Linked DNA regions of Neurospora crassa OR74A. The protein of the gene in region 3 interacts with the protein of the main gene of each other region in a pairwise test. Links are inferred from orthologs where the notes say so. Each region holds a gene or a part of one and is shown on either strand. Other genes may lie near its edges.

Evidence for each region.
Region 1: the proteins of NCU04637 (region 3) and NCU01947 interact in binary tests that used the Saccharomyces cerevisiae proteins (3 or more experiments, as listed by UniProt). The link is inferred for Neurospora crassa OR74A from reciprocal best matches to the Saccharomyces cerevisiae genes RVS167 and NVJ2.
Region 2: the proteins of NCU04637 (region 3) and NCU02978 interact in a two-hybrid assay, tested with the Saccharomyces cerevisiae proteins (2 studies listed by BioGRID). The link is inferred for Neurospora crassa OR74A from reciprocal best matches to the Saccharomyces cerevisiae genes RVS167 and SLA1.
Region 4: the proteins of NCU04637 (region 3) and NCU10073 interact in binary tests that used the Saccharomyces cerevisiae proteins (3 or more experiments, as listed by UniProt). The link is inferred for Neurospora crassa OR74A from reciprocal best matches to the Saccharomyces cerevisiae genes RVS167 and ABP1.

Annotation. Positions count from the first base shown.
Region 1 is NC_026501.1:1,898,770-1,903,820, reverse strand, and holds the start of NCU01947 (hypothetical protein), read right to left. Parts: upstream 3,221-5,051; 5' UTR 2,750-3,220; coding exon 2,274-2,749; intron 2,216-2,273; coding exon 1-2,215. Other genes in the region: NCU01948 (60S ribosomal protein L21), read right to left, coding at 4,555-4,885. UniProt on the Saccharomyces cerevisiae protein: During endoplasmic reticulum (ER) stress or when cellular ceramide levels increase, induces contacts between the ER and medial-Golgi complex to facilitate non-vesicular transport of ceramides from the ER to the Golgi complex where they are converted to complex sphingolipids, preventing toxic ceramide accumulation.
Region 2 is NC_026501.1:8,519,377-8,524,511, forward strand, and holds the start of NCU02978 (cytoskeleton assembly control protein SLA1p), read left to right. Parts: upstream 1-2,004; coding exon 2,005-2,202; intron 2,203-2,343; coding exon 2,344-3,787; intron 3,788-3,849; coding exon 3,850-5,135. Other genes in the region: NCU02979 (AMP deaminase), read left to right, coding at 1-45. UniProt on the Saccharomyces cerevisiae protein: Component of the PAN1 actin cytoskeleton-regulatory complex required for the internalization of endosomes during actin-coupled endocytosis. The complex links the site of endocytosis to the cell membrane-associated actin cytoskeleton.
Region 3 is NC_026505.1:1,374,882-1,379,756, forward strand, and holds NCU04637 (BAR adaptor protein RVS167), read right to left. Parts: upstream 3,459-4,875; 5' UTR 2,743-3,458; coding exon 2,707-2,742; intron 2,549-2,706; coding exon 1,207-2,548; intron 1,130-1,206; coding exon 1,104-1,129; 3' UTR 359-1,103; downstream 1-358. Other genes in the region: NCU04636 (cysteine desulfurase), read left to right, coding at 4,067-4,337, 4,410-4,875. UniProt on the Saccharomyces cerevisiae protein: Component of a cytoskeletal structure that is required for the formation of endocytic vesicles at the plasma membrane level.
Region 4 is NC_026501.1:4,040,137-4,045,328, reverse strand, and holds NCU10073 (actin binding protein), read left to right. Parts: upstream 1-2,104; 5' UTR 2,105-2,342; coding exon 2,343-2,538; intron 2,539-2,612; coding exon 2,613-4,709; intron 4,710-4,784; coding exon 4,785-4,909; 3' UTR 4,910-5,068; intron 5,069-5,130; 3' UTR 5,131-5,150; downstream 5,151-5,192. UniProt on the Saccharomyces cerevisiae protein: Regulates ARP2/3 complex-mediated actin assembly. Recruits ARP2/3 complex to sides of preexisting actin filaments, which may promote nucleation or stabilization of filament branches. Binds to actin filaments, but not actin monomers.

The DNA.
Region 1 (5,051 bases), on a different chromosome or scaffold from region 3:
GCTCATAGGTGTAGTCGGTTCTGACTCCGCAGGAGCCGCGACTACAAGCATGTTCACAGTATTTCCGTCATCGTCGAGTTGCTGCTCAGCTCGGTATTGACGACGTTTTGGGAGAGGGGGAGGTGGTACAGGGCGGCGTTCGGGTTTGTGATCATGGTCTTCTGGCGTGCTCAGTTTACGTTGCTGCAGTGATTGATCTGGAGGCGGTATCGGTTTGCGTCTCGGGATACTGATGGATGTTGCCTTCAACCTTCTGTCTGGCATCGGAAGTGGTGTTCCTGGAGGCGGAAGCGGCTGCCCACGTCCCATAGGCTGATTCAAGTCCAGCACCGATGGATGATCATCGGTGAATGAAGCACTCCTACCCGGTGTCCCATCGTTGTTCGAGTGTCGTTGGAACGCATTGAGCCCCCAACGCTTGGCAGATGCAGCCGCGTTGGTAACAAAAGCGGCGGCCAAGGCAGTCTTTTTCGCAGAGTCTGGGTGATTTGGCGTGGGTGCTCCTGTTGTCGATGATACAGTATCTCGCCGGGCAAAAATACCCTTGATGGTCCCAGTTTGACTTTTCACAGACCCCCTTATCGACGAAGCTGGAGACCTCGTCCTGCTTTCCTCCTGGCTGCCTGCGGATGTGGCTGTGTTTCGTCTTGCCTGGTTCTTTTTATCAAAGTCCTGCAAATCTTTTTCCGCATCCACAGCTTCAGAAGAAGAGGACCCGGAAGACTGGTCTGATAACTTGGGTATGACGGACGGCCTCAGGGGCGAGTGAGGCGGCTGTGGTCGTGCTGGAGAATGTGCCTGGACAGACAACGTTGCCATCGCTGATGCAGCAAGGCTTTCGTCCGGTGGTGACGAGGATGGTTTGAAGACGTCAGCATTGATGGCGTCTGTGCTAACCGTTGGCGTCGGAGGATGAGTGATCGAAACCACCCGAATCGGAGGTGGTATACAAGTTTCACTCCTCGTATCGGTCTTGAGCTCGTTTTGATTGTTCGTGCTCAATGAGGTCGTAGATGCAGAATAGACAGGGTCCCCCTTCGCTTTCGTTGTCATCCGCCCAAAAAGGCTAATTGACGGTTTCTTGTCGAGAGTAGGCATGCTGTGGCTTTTTTCCACGTGCGGCAGATCGGGTTCGTGAACGTCTTGAGTACCCTCCAATCGCTCCACCTCGTCCAAATCGCCTTCTTGAGCCGCAGCTGTTTCCAAATCCATGGTTGAGACGACGGTGTCATCATGAAAGATACCACCTCTCCACTTCTTGTGCTCTGTATTGAAAAAAGGCATATCATCCCAGAAGGGTAAGACAAGGGTCTCGGCCATAACCTCCTTGATTTGCTTCTCGATCTGGCGGAGAATAACGGTATAGGTAATCTGTCTAGAGCTGACAATAGGTTCGATTGTCATCTCCATCTTTGGTGCCTGTTGGAAAGAGAACCATAGGCGATTACTGGGTGGGGGCTTGATTTTGAATAAGATATGACCTTCGAGTTTCCGTACAACCACGGCAAGGACAAGATTAACCTCTCGTGCTTTGAATCGCGCGCCTAGATCAATCCTGGCTGTCGCCGCAACCTCCAAGCGGAAGTTGCCAGTGTATCGTACATCTGCCTCAATGCAGCATTCACCCTCAACGGTCAGATCTCGTAGCCGTGGATTCGTGATAAAGGGTGCTGACTCTCCGGTATCGATACCTTTGATAGCAATGTTGGATAGAAATGCCGGCCTTTTAACTCGAGAAATCTTCTTTGTGAGCTTCTCCCGTATCGCGTTCTCTATGTCCTTGGTCTTGTAGATGCCCAAGAAGACGCGCCCAATCATCGCGTTGAGCCAACGGGTTTGCATGTGTTCTTCTGACGAGTGCAGTCTCTGTACCAAGTTGATAATGTTCTTGACCTCAAACTGGATAGGAGATGGGATATCGCTTTCCGTGTCCAGGGCCTGCTGTTCCTGATTTCGTAGCAGAGCAAAGTAGAAGTCTTCCTTCGCAGAGCAATTTTCGGAAAAGAGGTAGAAAGGTTTCGAGACCTGACTATCCGGTCCTATTTCCAGCCCGTCTGTTTTTCGCGAGAGACGTATAGCGTTGCGCTTGATGTACAGCTCGCCCTCAGGAGTAACTTCCTCGCCGGAGTATATGCTGACTTCATGGTGCGCCAGCGCCACAACGTGCCGTACTTCGAGTTGTTCGTCATCGTCAAAGAGCATGAGATGGCCGTGTCTGTCACGAGCATCAGAATCCAGGTCGTATTGAGAGTCAAAAGGATAATGTCACGCACCTCAGGACAACATAAAAGACATTGCCGGCCTTCTTAGGGCGCTGACTAGGACCGTTCTTGTGGTCGATGGGACTGGGACCGGTGGACTTGCGATCGAATATACTCCGATACATTGTCTGGTAGACACTGGGACTGGGAGCGGCGACGGTGGTGGAGCCGACAGGTGTCGACCGCTCGATAGGCTTCGCGTTGATTCCCATGGGCGTATACTCGCGGCAAACTGCAAAATACCCAGAAGCGACACCATCGTCGTGATGGGTCACCCGGGGCTTTCCATCCTTCTTTTGCTCCGCCTTGAGCGCATCAAGATCGTCACCAGGCTGGATCAAGTCGTCGGCTTCTGGGTCGTGGTGCTGGACGGCATCTGGGCGGTAAGGAAACGTAAGGTGAGCATGAAGTAGAGCGCAAGCCACCAACAATGGCAGAAAGGTAAGGCCTCCGAAGAGGTATATCAACAAGAAGACGGTCCAACTCATGGCTGTATATTTTTTTTCCGTCGAAGGGAGATTGTCCACTGCAGTGTTCGAGTCCAGGATGCGGTCATGCAAGATGCGCCAAGACAGGAAGGACTGACAGCGGTCGCTACTCCTCGCTGTTCGGTGTGCCCACCGCGCTCAGGTTGGCTACCTGCTCAGCAGCTCAGAGCAGATGGTTTGCAATTGCGGCATCGATGCGGACTCGAACTCAGGGCTCGCAGTCGCAGTTGCACGGCGAAGTCATGAGTCGTAGGTTTAGTTGGATTACAGACGCGCGCGCTCAGACAAACAGGAAACGGAAGCGGAAGTGGGCGCGGTGGGTTTGAGGTGGAAGGAACTGAAAGATGACGGATGGCCTGCAGCTGTGTTGAAAAGGCCACTCACTCCGACCCTGCACTGGACGGCACGGACGGGACACCAAAACTCAACGGTAGCCCGGGAATGTGACAGGCCAGAGGAGCCCAGAAAAACAACCGAAAACTGGCTAGAAACTACACTACATAGTACTATGTAGTAGTGACAGAGCCAAGGGATCAGATGGTCGGTTCCTATTCCTGTTCCTGTTGGTGACAGCATCCTCGGTCTGGTTGTGTGCAAGAGTGTCAAACCACTTCCGATTTGGAAGGGTCCAAGACGGGTACCTAAAGGTACGTATGTGTACTGGTTAAGAAGGTACACTTTGCCTAGAGGTACCTACCTATGTACATACTAGATTTACACCAGTAAGTAGCATTTAGACAAAGAGGAGATCCAGTAGCTTAGCCACATGCTGAGAGAGCCTTATCACTTCCCCGGCCGCAATATCCAATTGGCCAAATCTGTTTATTTTTTGAGCCACATGCTACCAACGCCTCGTCAATGTCAGAAAGCCACAACGAGACCAAGCAAAATCCCTGACGATGCTTCGGCAGGCATTCGAGGTCTGGAGCGAGCTTGCTCGACATTTCCGTCCACATGAACCTCAAACCCCACAGTGAATCTGTCATCGATCTGTGATGGACCGCCTCAGCCCGCCGCCTTTGTCCAACCAGATGATCATCATCATAGTATACAATCCAAGAACATTCTTGAGAGTGGAACGACCAGTGACAAACAGATATATAACTGAAGCTCCGTTATCAAGTTTCATAAGCATGAACGCTTTCAATCTAGCAAGGCTGTTGCGTTGATGCGCCTGGGGATGTATAAATGGCCCTGGTTGGGTATCGAAATTCTACAATTCAAATAATCATCAGTTGGCTCAAAAGATGGCATCTCTGCGTCCAGGTCGGAAACGGAAGCCCAGTATAACGCTGTAGTCATTTCGTTCTACTCAAATCTCTCCCATCTTTCAAGTTGGATTTGAAGACCTTCTGAGCGTGCTAAGATGCTCACAATACGTACTGGTAGCAGAGATTGGCCCGGTGAAGTGGTTTGTCACGTTTGCTCTATTTGCGTATCCCTATCAACCGCAAGATGCTAGGTCGAGAAACAGAGCGGCCGCACAGCCAGACAGGGCTCGAATTGTGTGTCCCTGTGTGACTCGTCTGGCCACGAGATTCGTCTGGCGTAGTCCATCCGATCACAAGTTGGCTCGAGGCTCAAAAGCACGTACACCTGATCAGGAGGAGGCGCATCGAGCCGGTTCTCGTGTGTTTTGGTTTTGGTCATGGTCATGCCACTGGTATTTTTGATTCCTATAAGCACTCCCGCATCCCAGACCAAAAAATCCATGCAGGATATCTATCCGTGTCGAACGCGATGAACCCCATGCAAAGAAAAACCAAATACGCCAGGTCTACCACCAGTCCTATCCCAAGAGTACTTTAGATAGTGGTCTCGTAGGCGACGGGGGCAACGGTCTCGGGCTTGTTGTCGACGACAGAGATGGTGCGAGCCTCACGGGGAAGAAGGGCCTGGCGCTTGAGCTGGACGGGCTTGCCCTCAGCCTTGGCCTGCTTCTTGAGCTCGGCGTTCTGCTTGACGCGGCGAAGGAAATCGTCGCGGGAGCGGGAAGGCTGAATGTGCTCGATGCGGACGTTGATGCGCTTCTCGATGTAGCGGTGCTTCACCTTCTTGTAGATGATGATGCCGACAGCGGACTTGGTGACGTTGTAGATGACACCAGTCTTGCCGTGGTAGACCTTGTGGGCCATACTAATCGATTTCCAACGTCAGTTTCATAGCTCGCCCGTATTTCCGCAAAAAGTCCTCGTCGTTCGAAATCGCATGTGCCCCTCCTCTTTCGAAATTCCGATGTTTCAGAACCCCAACATATTCCGCATCTCGGTGTTTGTCGCAATCGTAATGGCCCCAAAAAAAA
Region 2 (5,135 bases), on a different chromosome or scaffold from region 3:
AGCACCCGACAGAGTTCGTTGCATGAGAGCGATGCTAAGCCGTAGGTGGCTGACATCACCTCATCTGGAGAATTCGTCGGCGAGGTGGAGATGATGAGAAGGAAGGACACACCGAGCGTGATTGTGATGGAGGATTATATGGAGGACATGCAGCCTCCAGAAGCTACGGTGGGGATGGCGCAGGAGGTGGGGAGTACGCCTGTGCAAGACTGTCCTGACTGTTTGGAGGTGGTATGTGAGTGAGTGAGTGAGTGAAGGGCATCTTCGTTGAAGATATTAGACATTGGGCCATTCTGGGTCTGGACTGGCTGGGTAATGCAAGTGGTACTGGTATCTGGAGTCATGCTATATAGACTTGACAGAATATTGAACCGAGTTCAGAGGGTGATTCGATCGATATAGGTATAATCTACGTTGAACTGGCGTTTAGACTTTTGGTCAGGGTATCTCCACCAAGAAAAAGGGGGTCGACAATAGTTGCTACTAGCTTGTATTGATGATTACGTTACCGTACGCGAGGGAGTTACGACGAAACAAATGCAATTCAGGGGGCGTATAAATAACATCGACACCCGCTGAACGGCTCCCATGCCCAGCGGACCCCGACCTGAAATGAACGATCCACCAAGCGCCCAAATGTCAAGAGGGAAAACCCGGGATATGACGCTATCTACACGTGCGGTTACAGTAGATCGCTGATGAATGCCCGGGTTTGCCGGTCGGGACCAGCTGGCTGCTGTTTCTTGATTGATTGATGGGAAAGTTGGGCGTGAAGAAGAGCCCAAGTTGACTGTCACAATTAAGCCACAATTACGGCCAATCAATAGATACTGTGTAACAAAGTGAAAGTTGCGCTTTCGAGGTACTTATTCAGGTGCTATGCCGTACCAGCAGCGCTCGAGATGCGGCTGGGCTGTGCTTGCTCCTGCACGATCTCACTCTTTCGGGTTCAATTTGGACAAGAATCCTTCGTTCCTGCGCCAGTACCTTGCTTCGATGTTGTTGGTCGGTCATTGGGGTTGACCTGAACCCTCGAAATGCGCTGCGGTTATTCCAAATAAAAGCTAGGTACATACACCTCCAGCGCTGGGAGGTTACGTACCTGTTCTTGGGGTTTCAAATTGTAAGGTACGAACAAGGTGTTCATTTGTCCTCGGGTCAATAGTGCACTTCCTACCTACGCTTGATTTGATCTCGAATGGATTTTCCGTGGACATTGCAATTACATAAATATACATTTTGGTGATAGCATCCATGAAGATCGCGGTGTCTTCGCGACCGCTTCGTTGCATCGTCTAAATTCCCCCAAATTCAGCGAACCCCCCCACCCCCCCGAACACACACCCCCCGGACCGGCTCCTTTAAACGAGCACTTGGGTCCACGACTTGGACATAGAGTAATTTCCAACGTCTCCCTTGGCTCGACCATTTCGACCGCAACTCCAGACTCTTGATCACGATAAAGGTCAAATTCCTCGCAGGGTCACCGCAGCCGCGCGTGCTCGCTGTCGTCGACATCTTCCCGACGTTCCCTCGCTCGAAATTACAGGCTACCTATCCGTAGGTACCATACAGGAGGGCCTTGGCCGGCCGCAATCCTACGCGCAAGCGGGCATACCTACAGTGCTTGCTTCAGCGGCTACCCCTTGCTTCAGGAGCACCCGTACACTCTAGAAGAGCTTCCATCCTCGTTCACCTTCTGCCCGGCAGCCGCAGCGCCGCACCCCCGTCACCCGTCACCAACCCAGCGTCACCCGCTCTCACACGCTGCTGCCGCCGCCGCCGCCGCCGCTCGCTCCTTGATTCCATTTCCTACCGGACACACACACACCCCCCCTTCCCCGGCAGAACCAAGACTTGTGATACCACACCACCAGCCACCATTCGCACCACGGCGCCTTTCGTTTTCCCCAATTCCTTTCTTCGCAACAGCAACTCCCTTGCGTCGGTTCATGTCGGCTGCCATCCAAAGGGCATCATACGAGCAGATTTCCCGCAGCAGCCATGGGCTTCCTCGGCGTCTATAGGGCCATTTACGATTACACGCCCCAGGGCGAGGGCGAGTTGACAATCTCCGAGGGCGACATTCTCTATGTGTTGGAAAAGAGTCAGGAGGACGATTGGTGGAAGGCGAAGAAGAAGGCCAATGCTGCCGACGATGACGAGCCCGTCGGCTTGATCCCCAACAACTACATTGAGGAGGTATGTAATGTGGTCCGAGGTCTAGATCTGGATTGCGTGCAGTGTCATCTGGGCACTTGTACCTGCTTGGAGGATAGCAAGCTGGCTGGCCTTGGCATTCAGATGGATCACTTGAACTGACCGCGCACACCATGACGCCAGGCGAAACCCGTATCATACGCTCGCGCGCTCTACGAGTACACGCGTCAGACCGACGAAGAGCTCTCCTTCCCCGAGGATGCGCAGCTCTCAGTCTTCGACACTTCCGACCCCGATTGGATCCTTGTTGGCCACGATGGCGACTACGGCTTCGCGCCCGCCAACTACATCGAGTTGGGCGATGGCCAGGCTGGCCAGGTCGAGGAGGAGGAAGAAGCGACTGCCCCCCCTCCTCCTCTTCCGCAGAGGACACCCAGCGTCAGCGTCGATGTAGCCAGCCCGCCCCTGCCCGCCAGGAGTGTGCCCTCCGAGCCAAGCACCCCTGTCGCCGCTTCCAACCCTGCTGCCGCCGCCATCGCCGGAGTTATGGCCAACCGCTCTTCTTTCCAACCTCCAGCGCCTATCAGTGTTCCCCAGCCCCAGCGACAGTCATACGCTTCGGAAGATTACGAAAATGAGGTAAGGTCCCCGCCGCTTCCGAGCCGCCCGCGGGGCGATTCGCAAATTGCTCCGGAGCAAAAATCCTACAGACCGGTGCCGCCGCCCGCTCAGTCAGCAGCCCACGACACCGACGACTATGGCATTAGCCCGCGAACCTCCCAGGCTCCTCCTCCTCAGACCGCCGCGCTTACCCCTGGCGGTTTCCACATGTACAACATCAACGAGATGACGTCGGTGATGGGCAAGAAGAAGAAGATGCCTACCACGCTGGGCATCAACCTGAGGACGGGAATGATTCTCATAGCGCCGGAACATTCCCACGACGGTCCATCGCAGGAATGGCGGGCCGATTGCATGACACACTACTCTCGGGAGGGCAAGCACGTGTTTATGGAGCTCGTACGACCAAGCAAGAGCGTTGACTTTCATGCGGGCGCCAAGGACACCGCTGAAGAGATCGTCGCGATGCTGGGCGACATGGCCGGAACTGTGCGCCTCGAGGGACTCAAGGAGATCATTGCCGCGGGAGCCGGAGGCAAGAAGAAGAAGGGTGCTGTGCTGTATGATTTTATGGCTCAGGGTGAGGACGAGGTTACTGTCGGCGTTGGTGATGAGGTAGTTATTCTCGACGATACCAAGAGTGACGAGTGGTGGATGGTGCGTCGCGTCAAGAACGGCAAGGAGGGTGTGGTTCCCAGCAGCTACATTGAGATCAACGGCGTGTGGGAAGAGCCGGAGACGGCCGTTACCGGTATTGCCGTGGGCATGTCGGAAGTCGAGAAGAACCGCCTGGAAGAGGCGCGCTTAACCAAGGAGGCTATCAAGGCTGCCCAGCGCGAGGAAGAGAAGGAGAAGCAGAAGAGGAACTCTGAGGTAGGCCCAGGATTGCAATTGCAAGAACGAAATAGTAGTTTGCCGGCCACAGATGATAACAGGAGAGGAAAACAGCGAAGCAGTAGGCGCGAACCCGGTCAGAACAGCAGCTCCAAGTCGTCAAGCAAGTCGAGTAAGTACACCCATGTCCAGATTTTCTTTCAGAGTATGCAGAATACTGACAGTTTGTCGCAGAGCCCGATCCTTCCAAAGTGCGAACATGGACCGATCGATCCAAGTCCTTCAGCGTTGAGGCCCAGTTCCTCGGTGTCAAGGATGGCAAGATCAGGCTCCACAAGATGAACGGTGTGCAGATCGCCGTGCCCGTCTCGAAGATGTCAGTTGAGGATCTCGAGTACGTGGAGCGCGTAACTGGCGAATCTCTCGACGAAGACAAGCCCCTATCCGATCTTAGGAACAAGCGATCCGCCGGTGAGTCTTCGAGGTCTAGTCGATCGACGCGCGACAGGGAAAGAGACCGTGGTTCCAGCTCCCGGGTTGGCGCCACCATCGATTCCTCGAAGAAGCCCGACTACGACTGGTTTAACTTCTTCCTTGGTTGTGACATACAGGTTGGTTTGTGCGAACGGTATTCTCAAGCTTTCCTGCGGGAGGCTATCGACGAAAGTGTCTTGCCAGATGTTGATGCTACTGTGCTGAGGAACTTGGGCTTGCGTGAAGGTGATATTATCAAGGTCATGCGGTACCTGGACAACAAGTACATGCGGAACAAGAAAGGCGAAGAGGGCGAGGGAGGACTCTTCTCTGGGCCAGGAGGTGCGCTCCGCAACAACACGAAGAAGGGCAGGCCGGCGCCCCCCGTCGAGGTCAGCAACACCGTTGATCCCAACGCTTTCTCTAAGGACTCGGGTGCTGGTAGTGGCAAGTCATCATCTCCTACGGCTGCGGCTACGCCAACACCGTCTGCCTCGAAGCCTTCCAGTGGCTTTGATGATGATGCTTGGGATGTCAAGCCTACCAAGACGAAAACCCCTGAGCCGGCTGCGCAAGCCGTTGCTCCCGCTCCTGCGGCGGCACCCGCTGCCGCTCCAGCCCCTGCTGCGCCAGCTCTGGTTGACGCGCCGGCCCCCCCTCCGCCGGCGGCTCTTACCAAGTCGATGCAGGAGTTGTCGTTGCTTACCCAGCCTTTGGAACCCGAGAAGGTCGCTCCTCCGCCAGTTGTGCAACCGGCCATCACGTTGCCTCCGCCCTCCGCGGCTCCAGCTCCGGCTGCTGCTGCTCCTGCACAGGTCCCTCAGCTTACCGGCGCCACTCCCGGCTTCTTCACCGGTATGCAACCTCCTGCTGTTGGTGCACAGATCCTTCCTCAAAACATTGCCCGTCAAAGACCTCTTGCTCCTCAGTTCACTGCGGCCCCGGGTGGTCTTGTTGCTCCACCTCCATCTCGCCCCCTCTCGGCGCCTCAGTCCGCTCAACCCAGCGCCTTCACGCCACCCCCTATCCAGCCTCAGATGACCGGT
Region 3 (4,875 bases):
CGGCCAAAAGATTGCCTGGAGTCTGCGAGTTACGCTGCGCTTGGTGGTAGTGGTGGTGTTTGTGAGAAGAGGAAGAAGAGTTTGTGTGCAAGTGAGAAGAGGGGAATTAAAAGCCCATAGATCTGGGTTTGCCCGACATACTGGAGATTGTGACTCCCTGTCTTGCTTCACAGCCACGGAGGGACTCATGGAGAATTGGAGGGAGGAGCATACAGCTGGGTTGCTTGGCGCATTATTGGAAGCTTCTGTTAGCCTTAGTCTTGTACAACAAGGCAGGTGCATGTCTCTCACTTGAAGCTAAACCAGAGGACCTCGCTATCCAGGGCACCGAAGCATTGCATCTTAGCTGGAGGCCATCGTTCAACATCGGTATTTCCAATAAGGACCCTCCAGTACACTTGCCATGGCTTTCAGTGATACCTACCTGTAGATGAGTAGCAGATATGATACACATCTTTCTTTCCTCCCAAAAAAAAACCTGAATCCTTGGAGTCGAGCCAGGAGGTGAAGCCGAGCCAGGTAGTTTTGACAAGGCAAGCGGTTGTTGGTGACACTAGATTCAAGCTGAGCTGCGTGGTCGTTGCGTTAACAAAATTAGAAATTAGCTTCACCTGAGGAAGCTTGACGCGCGGGCAAGTACCTAACCTAAAGGGAACAAACCACGACGGCGATCATGGCAAAACGCATCTAATCAAAACTTCCAGGTTTGACCCAATGCACTGTGACCTTTTCACTCCGTTGCTTCCTTCGCTCCAAAACAATACACCCGCCATTTCCCTAGACGCAAACACCCGGGACCCTCTCGCTCCACGCTCCTCGCAGGTCCTCCTTCGCGACGGAGTTTCCTCCTGCCTGACTATTCTCAACAGAGTCACCTGCCGCATATCATTGCATCCGTATAGGATCACCAAGGCCCTGCTACAGAACGTCACGGCCTGGTACGATGTAGACGAACTAGAAAGAATCCGTGTTGTGGTTGCAAATGAATAACTCGACCATGAACGGGTCCACAAAAAAGGGGTATAGGTTGAAGTCGTGCTGAGAAGTGAAGTGTGCTGAAAGCAACTCTTTGATAACTACATTTACAAGTAGCCTTGTATCCTCTAGCTGTTTAACTGGACATAGTTTCCTAGCAAAAGACCATTGTGTCAGAACATATCCAGCTCGCAACAAAGCAAGCACCCTAAGAAATAGTACAGTACGTACCTGGGAATTGACCCTGCTTTCCATGCAACTTTCCAATCCACCACTCATTCTCGTTCGCAGTCCTTGTTACTATCTCAATCACATCACCGGCACGGAAGCTCAGATCGCCCTCCGCCTGCGCCGAGTAGTCGTAAAGCGCTGTGACGGTCTCTACTTTGGGTGCCGCCGCCATGAGGGCCTTGGGCTTGGGCTTCGGCGGTGGGGGCTTGGCCTTTGCAGCCGCCGCCATGGACAACGACGAGGGTTTCGGGCTGGCAACTGGAGCGGCGTAGGAGGCGGGCGTAGCATGTAGCGTGCTCGGCTTCACCGAATACGGTGGCGGCGCATGCGCTTCTACTGTTTCCGCCTGGGTTTCCCAAGGTCGCGGTGCTGTGACGGCAGGAGCTTGTTGTTGCTGTTCCCAGGGGCGTGGGGCTGTGACTGAGGGAGCCGCCTCAGGCGGACCGGTGGAAGTGGTCGTGGAGGAGCCAGCTGTAAGTAGGCCTGCTGGCTTGTTTCCTTCGAGAGCGCCTGGACGTTGGTACTTGGGCGGTCGCTTCATACCCGTGGTCTTGAACTTGACAATGGAGAGAGCCTCAGCCCGCTCCTGGACGTCACCTCGCTTCGCGTAAAAGGCCTCCTCAATGTCCAGGGTCAGGTCGAAGTAGCCAATGTCGCAGTGCTGCATCTTCTCGTGCAAGGTGTAGAAGATGTTGAGCTGCATGTAGTAGAAGGACTGGAAAAGCGGCTGAATGAACTGGCGTTCGAGGGCAAACAGCTTGGGTAGCTCGTCCTTAAGCAGATCGTTGAAGTAATTGTACTCTTGCGTGGCCTGCTCAACTTCGTTCTCAGCCTTCCACATGGCCTTCTCGTCCTTTGCCGACCGGTCTTTCTTGTCCTGGAGCTTCTTGAGGGTGGCGCGGTGTCTGTCGTAGTCCAGCTTCTTGTGCTCGCGCTTCACGGCCGTTTTGCGAATGACCTTGATCACATCGAGGAGCTCGTTCGCTGGCCGAATAACCCTAGCCTCAATCATTTCCAACTCTGGCGCCAGTGTTTCCTGCAGGTCCTTGACAACGGCCTCGTACTCCTCGCAGGCGGCAATACCCTCATAGTTGCCATGGGGAACGAGCGAATCGGGATCGGACATGCGGCCGCTGATGGGCTTGTAGATTTCGGTCATTGCCTTTGAGAACTCGATTTGGTGTTGCAGCATGCCATTGATGGCCTCAAAGTACTTTTTGCTTTCATCGTGAAGGCGTTTGGTCTCGGTTTCGAGCTCCTGGAATCTGCGCTCCGAGTCGATGTAGACAGGGTCTTTGGTATGCTCGCCGAGGTTAAACTTTTGCTTGAATTGTTGTGGTGCCTGGTTTCTGTCGTGTTAGTGCCTGTTTGCCAACCCGAGTGATTCGGCGCTATTTCTGCCACAGACGGGGGACTCGACGGGAAGGGCGGAAGTGATGATGACGCTGTAACCGAAACTAGGGGAGGTGAGATCAACTAGGTATGCGGGGCAGAACCTACGCGGACCACGCTTTTTTGGAAGCCCCTGAAGCTCATATTCTGCTACGAAGCCGTATGATGTCTGATGTGTATTCGGTGTTTGTATGGAGATGCGCAAAGCGGGTTGCTGTTCGGAGAGGTTGAAGGCAATCGGTGGTCGAGTGCCCTCTTCAAGTCGGATCCGGATACGATGGTGATGACGCTGGGGGTGGGCAGGGGGGCGGTGCAGGTCGTTTGGCTGGTGGACGAAGTCTTGGCTGAGCGAAGCTTGCGACGGTTTGCGTGGCGCTGCTATTTGCTGAATGTTGGACACGCCGCACACAGCGACCTCGTTCCAAGATGTAGTGTGAAAAGTCTTTTTGTCTAGGCGTCTTGTGATTTCGGTTTGTTCTTGAATCCCGTCGGTCGGACCCTTGTCAGCAGTTCCGTTCGAGGTCCGACAAACTTCCTCGGGGAGGATTCGGTCTTCAACGGTAGGAGGTAAAGTAGCTAGAGGTAGCTGTCCTAGAGGTAAGATGCTACTAAATAGTTTAGCAGTGTAAATGGAATTCAAGTAGGTTGTCGGCGGTTATATGGCATGTCACTGATGGTTCAAGTTATAGTCCAACGCAGACATCCAATGCGAATGGAAACAGAATACTACCGAGGAGGTAAATAGGTACCGTCATCGGTTGTTCTGCTTTTGGTCGATGAGACCCCGGAAAGGAACGAATTGGAACGACGGGGTAGACCGACTGGGTCTGGGGCCCGCTGTAGTGTAGCTTTCATCCCAGTGGACATGCCGATTGAGAGAACAGATGGATGCCTGCCCCGGGTCAGTGCTCTTCCTTTCTGTGCAATGATGGATCAGATGCGTCCGCGGAGTCCGTTTCACAAGTGGACATTCCGCACTGTATTTGTCAAGTCAGTCGCCGCGGTGCACATCGAGCGTTCAGTTTCCGTCATGCCCGGCGGCCCATTCTCTAACATTTTGGAGCAGCGTCATTTTCGCCGTACGTACATACGCGCTTGTCCGATGTCCGAGAAAGAAACAGGTGGGGCCATCCGATGGCAGAATGACCAATCAAAGTGCCAAACCTTGTTGGTTGTCGCCCCTCATTGGCACATTCCTTTATCACCGACCCCTCCGAGGCCAAGTCCGCGTGCGGATGCCGTTTGTTTCGATTTGTTCTTTTCTGTATGGCGGAAATTCCACTCCGACCGCCGAAGAGCGGGAGGCGGCAGCTCCATCTGAATTTCTGAGTGTGTTTTGAGCCGCCCCGCCCGCTGCCTCCATCCGTTTTTGTAGGTTTGGTTACAAAACGAACTTTTTCTCCCTCATCCGCCATCACCCTCACCACCATATTCTCTTTTCCTCTCCTTCTTTCTTCTTCCTTTTACCATGTCCACCATTGCGCCGTCCGTCTTGCGACAGGCATCGCGCTTGGCCGCGGCCGCTCCTCTCCGCAGCGCGCGTGTGCTGTCGCGGGCGACTACTGCGGCTGCTGTCAAGACTGCTTCTGCTTCCAGGAGCTATGTGACCGAGACCAAGAGGAACAACGCCGACGTGCAGGCCGAGCATGCTATCAAGCTGGATCACAGGGAGATGGAGAAGCAGGGCCTCACTATAAGCGCGCAAAATGGCTCGAGCCAACACGTCAGCCCCATGGCTGGTAAGCATCATCATCACCTCCCACCTCTTCGGAGACATATTGCGCAGTCGTCCTCGTTGCTGACTCAACTAGATGTTCTCAGCAATGCTACCGTGATGGATGAGGGACAGCGTCCCATCTACCTGGATATGCAGGCCACAACCCCCATCGACCCCAGAGTGCTCGATGCCATGATGCCCTACTTCACCAACGTCTATGGCAACCCCCACTCGAGGACACATGCCTACGGCTGGGAGACTGACAAGGCCGTTGAAGAGGCGAGGAAACACATTGCTGATCTGATTGGCGCTGACCCCAAGGAAATCATCTTCACCAGCGGTGCCACCGAAAGCAACAACATGAGTATCAAGGGCGTCGCTAGGTTCTTTGGCCGGTCCGGCAAGAAGAAGCACATCATCACCAGCCAGACAGAACACAAGTGTGTCCTCGACAGCTGCAGGCATCTCCAGGACGAGGGTTTCGAAGTGACCTATCTCCCAGTGAAGAGCAGCGGCCTGATCGACATGGCGGAGCTGGAGGCTGCCATCCGTCCCGACAC
Region 4 (5,192 bases), on a different chromosome or scaffold from region 3:
TAGGGTACGCCCTAAACCAATACGCTTATAATATTTATAGTAATAAAAATATTGGGGCCGAAAATATCTTTAATCTATATTTAATTTTACTAGTACTAAATATATATAAATTTATTAAATATAATTATGTAGTTATTAATTATTAATATTCTAATAGCTATATAAATTATTAGGCTAAGTTTCTTTTTACTTAAATAAATAATTAGGGTCGTCTTCATATCTTTCTTTAAATAGTTTATAAATTTAATAGTAATTATTATTCCCTTAATAATAAACTATTACTCAAAGTTAAAGGGGATAAATTTTTTAATAATAGTAAATAATTATTAAAAGATAGTACTAATTTTACTCGGGCTAACTTTTACTATAATATCGGCCCAATACTTTAATACTTCCTAAACGCCTTTCTTAATTTCCTTTAAAATATCCTTCTTTAAATTATTAAAATCCTTCTTAATAATAAATTAATCGATTCTAACTTTACTAACTTCGGGTTATATAAACCTACTTTTTTTAACGTATACCTTTATAAATTTAAGAAGTAATTCTCGAATTTAACGACGGTCCTTAGTCGAAATAATATTATAGTCCGCAAATTTATTCGCTTTAACAATAAATTTCTTTAATATTTTATTATCTTTATTTATTTTATTTAAAGTCTTTATAGTAAGTACGGCTTTAGAATTGTTATATATTGAGATTTCCGCAAGCGGGTTGTAGATACTATTTTCAAATCTACAAGTACTGCTATTAATAGCTATCGGCAACGACAATACAATACTATTGCTATATTCGTCGTAAGATATTGTAAGGAACGTAAACGACCCTCCTAAGTCGATTGCTGTTATTAATTTTCATTTTAGAGTACTCCTCGACTAGAAATCGGCGTTTCCGGTTTCAAAGCAGTTTTTTAGGCTATAAGGTAGCTACTAGAATATACGGCTATTTAAACTCTAGTACTCGAGCGACCCGGAGGGTAGTGTTTTATCCTTTCTTTCTTCGTAGAACTTTAATATATACACATAAGGCCAGCACCTACATATCGCTCTACTGTCCCCTTATAGTAAGAAAGTGAAATATAGAAGGAAATTTTACAATTAACAGCCGGCCTAACTAGGGATCCTTTTATATAAGGACCCTAGTTAGAATAAGGATTTACCTTAGTTTATAGGGGTAGATTCCCTACTTCCCGGCCCGCCTACCAATAGTAGTTAGCTACCATACGCTCGACTATAGTACCAAGCGTACTCCGGCTATAGTGCTAGGTACAGCTCAATTAAGTAGTCTAACTAGCCCAGTACTCTAATCTACAGCTAATCGTATATATCTAGTAACAACTTTTTAATATATAGAAAATTGTAAAAGAGAAAAAGCTTAATGGATAAGTATATTACTTTGTTCTAACTATTTTCTAATTCTCTTTTTACTTTTAAATAACTATTAGATTATAAATACATATTATTTTATTATATTTAATATAAATTATCTCTCTAACCCTAGTAGGTATTTTTCTTATATAGTTTTATTATTTATAGGTACCTACTTTAGAAATACGAGTCTAGTAAGGTCCTATAAAGTAGAAGAGGGCAGAGAACGAGTAGTCCTAGTTATATACACCTATATATAAATCTAAAATACAAGTATAATAATTTGCAAATGAGTAGAGAGTTAGCAGAACTACCAGCAAGAAGTATTTTAATATAACCTTTTTAATAATATTTTGGGTAAGGTACTAAAACTCTGTAATATAAATTTCTAGGAATCGGTAGAAGCGTTTTCTTATTGTTATCATTTCTACTATAACAAGCAATAACTATCCCTTACGATATTACTACTCTAATCCTTTATAGCCTATTCAATGCTGGAGAGGATAAGAAAGGTTATTAAGGCAGATGAAGATATTATTAACTACTATTACAATAAATGAGAATCCTAGCTGTATTACAATCCTAGTTTTCTATAGGATTAGTGGCTTGGCTGGCGCCTTGGCTGTACCGCGCTAACATTTCAAAGCTATGCAGAGGTGTAGTAGTGTATTGACATATGTGCGCGGATGGAGCTCCACCCCAACTTCCACTTACCTACCTAGGTACCTAAAGGGTACCTAACTTCAGCGCTGCGTAGCTCTAACGACTTGTCCCGTCCATGCGCCTCCAAACACCGGAACCTTCATCTTGCTCTCGACCTCCAATATCGACCCGACCGACGTCTAGATCACCAACAATCTGTAGCCGTTGCTGCAGCTATCAGCAATTCACGATATTCCGATTGCTGAACGCTCCAGCTCCTTCGCGTCGTTTACCCATCCATCCCGCTCTACAAAGCTGGCCACTCCGCCCACCATGGCCTCCTTAAACCTGTCCATCCACGGGCCCTCCATTAAGAGCAGCTATCAGGGCGTCATCAACGGCCCTGCGCCATCTTCGGCATCTCCTACCTACGCACACTGGGCCCTTTTTTCCGTCCAGGCGCCTCTTTTGAATGCCTTCCAAGACTCTGGGGCAAAAGAGAGCATCCTGAAGGTCGAGAGCACTGGCGGTGAGTGCCATGCCGGCCCACAACTTCTCCTTCCCACCATATCCATGGGCCCGACTAATTATCAGTCGTCACAGATGGTGAGCTTTCCGACCTGATCGAGGACTTCAACGAGGGTCGCATTCAATTTGCCTTCGTCAAAGTCAAGGACCCCAACAGTGGACTTCCTAAGAACGTCTTGATTGCCTGGTGTGGCGGTGGTGTTCCCGAGCGAACAAAGGGGTACTTTACCAGCCATTTGGCCGCCGTCTCCAAGATTCTTCACGGCTACCATGTTCAAATAACAGCACGCTCCGACGGAGACCTTTCTCCCGAGTCTATTGTGCAAAAGGTTGCCGATGCTTCAGGCGCCAAATATACCGCCGGTGGTTCGGCACCCGCGTCAGCCGTTGCCCCGCCCCCCGTTGCAAAGAAGCCCGTTTTCACCCCGACTACCTCTACATCGGCCAGCTCTTTCAACCCCATTGTTGCCGCACGGATCCGGAATCACGGGGGCGAAGATGACGACGGCTGGGGTGTCGACGCACCGCCAGTCACGCGGACCCAGCTGGAGAAGGTCGCGTCTGCCTACCAGCCGACCAAGGTCAACATTGCCGAACTCAGAAAGAACAAAGATGACTCGCGTTCCGAAGAAACTCAGAAGCAAAATGACCGGCCGGAAGACATTGTTAAGGGTGGTTATCAGCCTATCGGAAAGGTTGATATTGCTGCTCTTCGCGCCCAAGCAAAGAAGACCCATGATGATCGGCCTGTAACCGTGAAGGGAGCCTATGAACCGGTGGGCAAGGTTGATATTGCCGCCATTCGCGCAAAGGCGCAACAACGTCCGACTGAACCGGAAGAATTGGAGACGCCCAGGAGTCTGGCAGAGAGGACTGCTGTATTTACGCAAGCAGAACGCTTGACCGAACTTCCCAAGCCCAAAGTTGCCAAGAAATTTGTAGGCAGCGCTGCATTTACTGGCACCAAAGCTCCCACGCCGGCTCCTCTCGGTTTCAGCTCGCCTGCAGTTCCTACCGCTACTCCTATTGGGGCTGCCAGCAGAACATTTGCGGATCAGGGAGGCAAGACGCCGGCCCAAATCTGGGCCGAGAAGAAGGCCAAACAAGGCGGTGCAGTTGCATTTGCGTCCACTCCCTCTCCCGCCGCTGCGCCTATTGCTGCCCAGAAGAGCGGCAGCGAATGGAAAAGCGGTTACGCGGGGAAGAGCTGGGCACCTGTGCAGGCACCCAATTACAGCCGAGGTCTTGAATTACACGCAACCGGAGGAAGCGCCTCGCAAGAGCAATATGAGCCTGAAGCACCTGCCTCACCGGCTGGCGGCATATCTGCGCTGCGCGAGAGATTCAAGGATACGGCACCTGTGGCGGTCCGTACGGGGTCACGGTCAGCACCAAGCGTGCCTTCTCCCGGCCCGGCCACTGGTGAAGAAGGGCATACTCCGCCGCCCCTGCCAACCGGAAGCCGTCCTTCCGGTGGCTTTGCTCTTCCTGGTCTGCCATCCCGGCCTTCTGTTGCTGACGACGAGGAAGGGAACGATGAAAGGCAGCTAGAAGAAGAAGTCCGTGCACTCGAACCGGCCGACCAGCATGAAGAGGAGCCTTCGTCCCCTGCTCGCATCGCAGTCCCGATTGCTCGGAGCGCAGTGCCTGAGGTGGAGCCAGCTGGCAATCTGCCGCCCCGTCCGGTGCCCGTATCGCAGGATCTACCGAAAGAAGAGGACCTCCCCGTAGAGGAGGATACCCACGATCCGCGTGCTGCTGCCCTGAATGTTGCCAGCGAATCTCTTGGCCAGGGTGTCGAGGTTCAGCAGGCTGGTTCAGATGGTGGCAAGCGTGCTCTGGTACAATATGACTACGAGAAGGCCGAGGATAATGAGATTGATCTCCAGGAAGGTGACTATGTCACTAATATTCAGATGGTGGATGACGATTGGTGGATGGGAACCAATGCGCAAGGGGAGAGTGGACTTTTCCCTAGCAACTACGTGGAAGTCGTGGAAGACGATGAGCCTGCTGCTGCTTTCAGCGCAGCCCCAACAGTAGCGGCGACTCAAGCCCCTGTTGTGCCTTCATCTGCGCAGGCCGAAGCGGTAGCACCTGCAACTCCGGCCGATCAAGTTGCTGGCCCAACAGCGACGGCGCAGTTTGATTACGAGGCAGCAGAAGATAATGGTAAGTGATGCTTGGAAGCCCCGCATATATCAGCCGCGAAACCCAGGCCTAGTAGTGACTAACGAATCGGTACAGAGTTGAGCTTCCCCGAAGGAGCCACGATTACGGGTTTGGAGTTTCCCGATGATGACTGGTGGTTTGGCCACTACAGTGGAGCGTCAGGTCTGTTCCCCGCCAACTACGTTGAGCTTAATGCATGATTGAAGGCAAAGGTGTCGAAATCCACGGTGCTGGTAATGGAAAATCAGCTTATTCGGTAGTCTAGTTTAATAATTTTCAGCTGAAACTTAACTAGTATGTACAGTAGGGTTGTTGCGCGAAGATATACTTTACAAGTGATAACAACAGAGAATAATGGAGTGAGTAACTGGTTGCTAGATAGAGTAATAGTGCGTAACGATTGACGACAGTCTTATTAAAGGAAATTAAAAATAAGAATTGTCGCAAATCTCAACTTAGAACCTCGTATACAACTTTACTAAA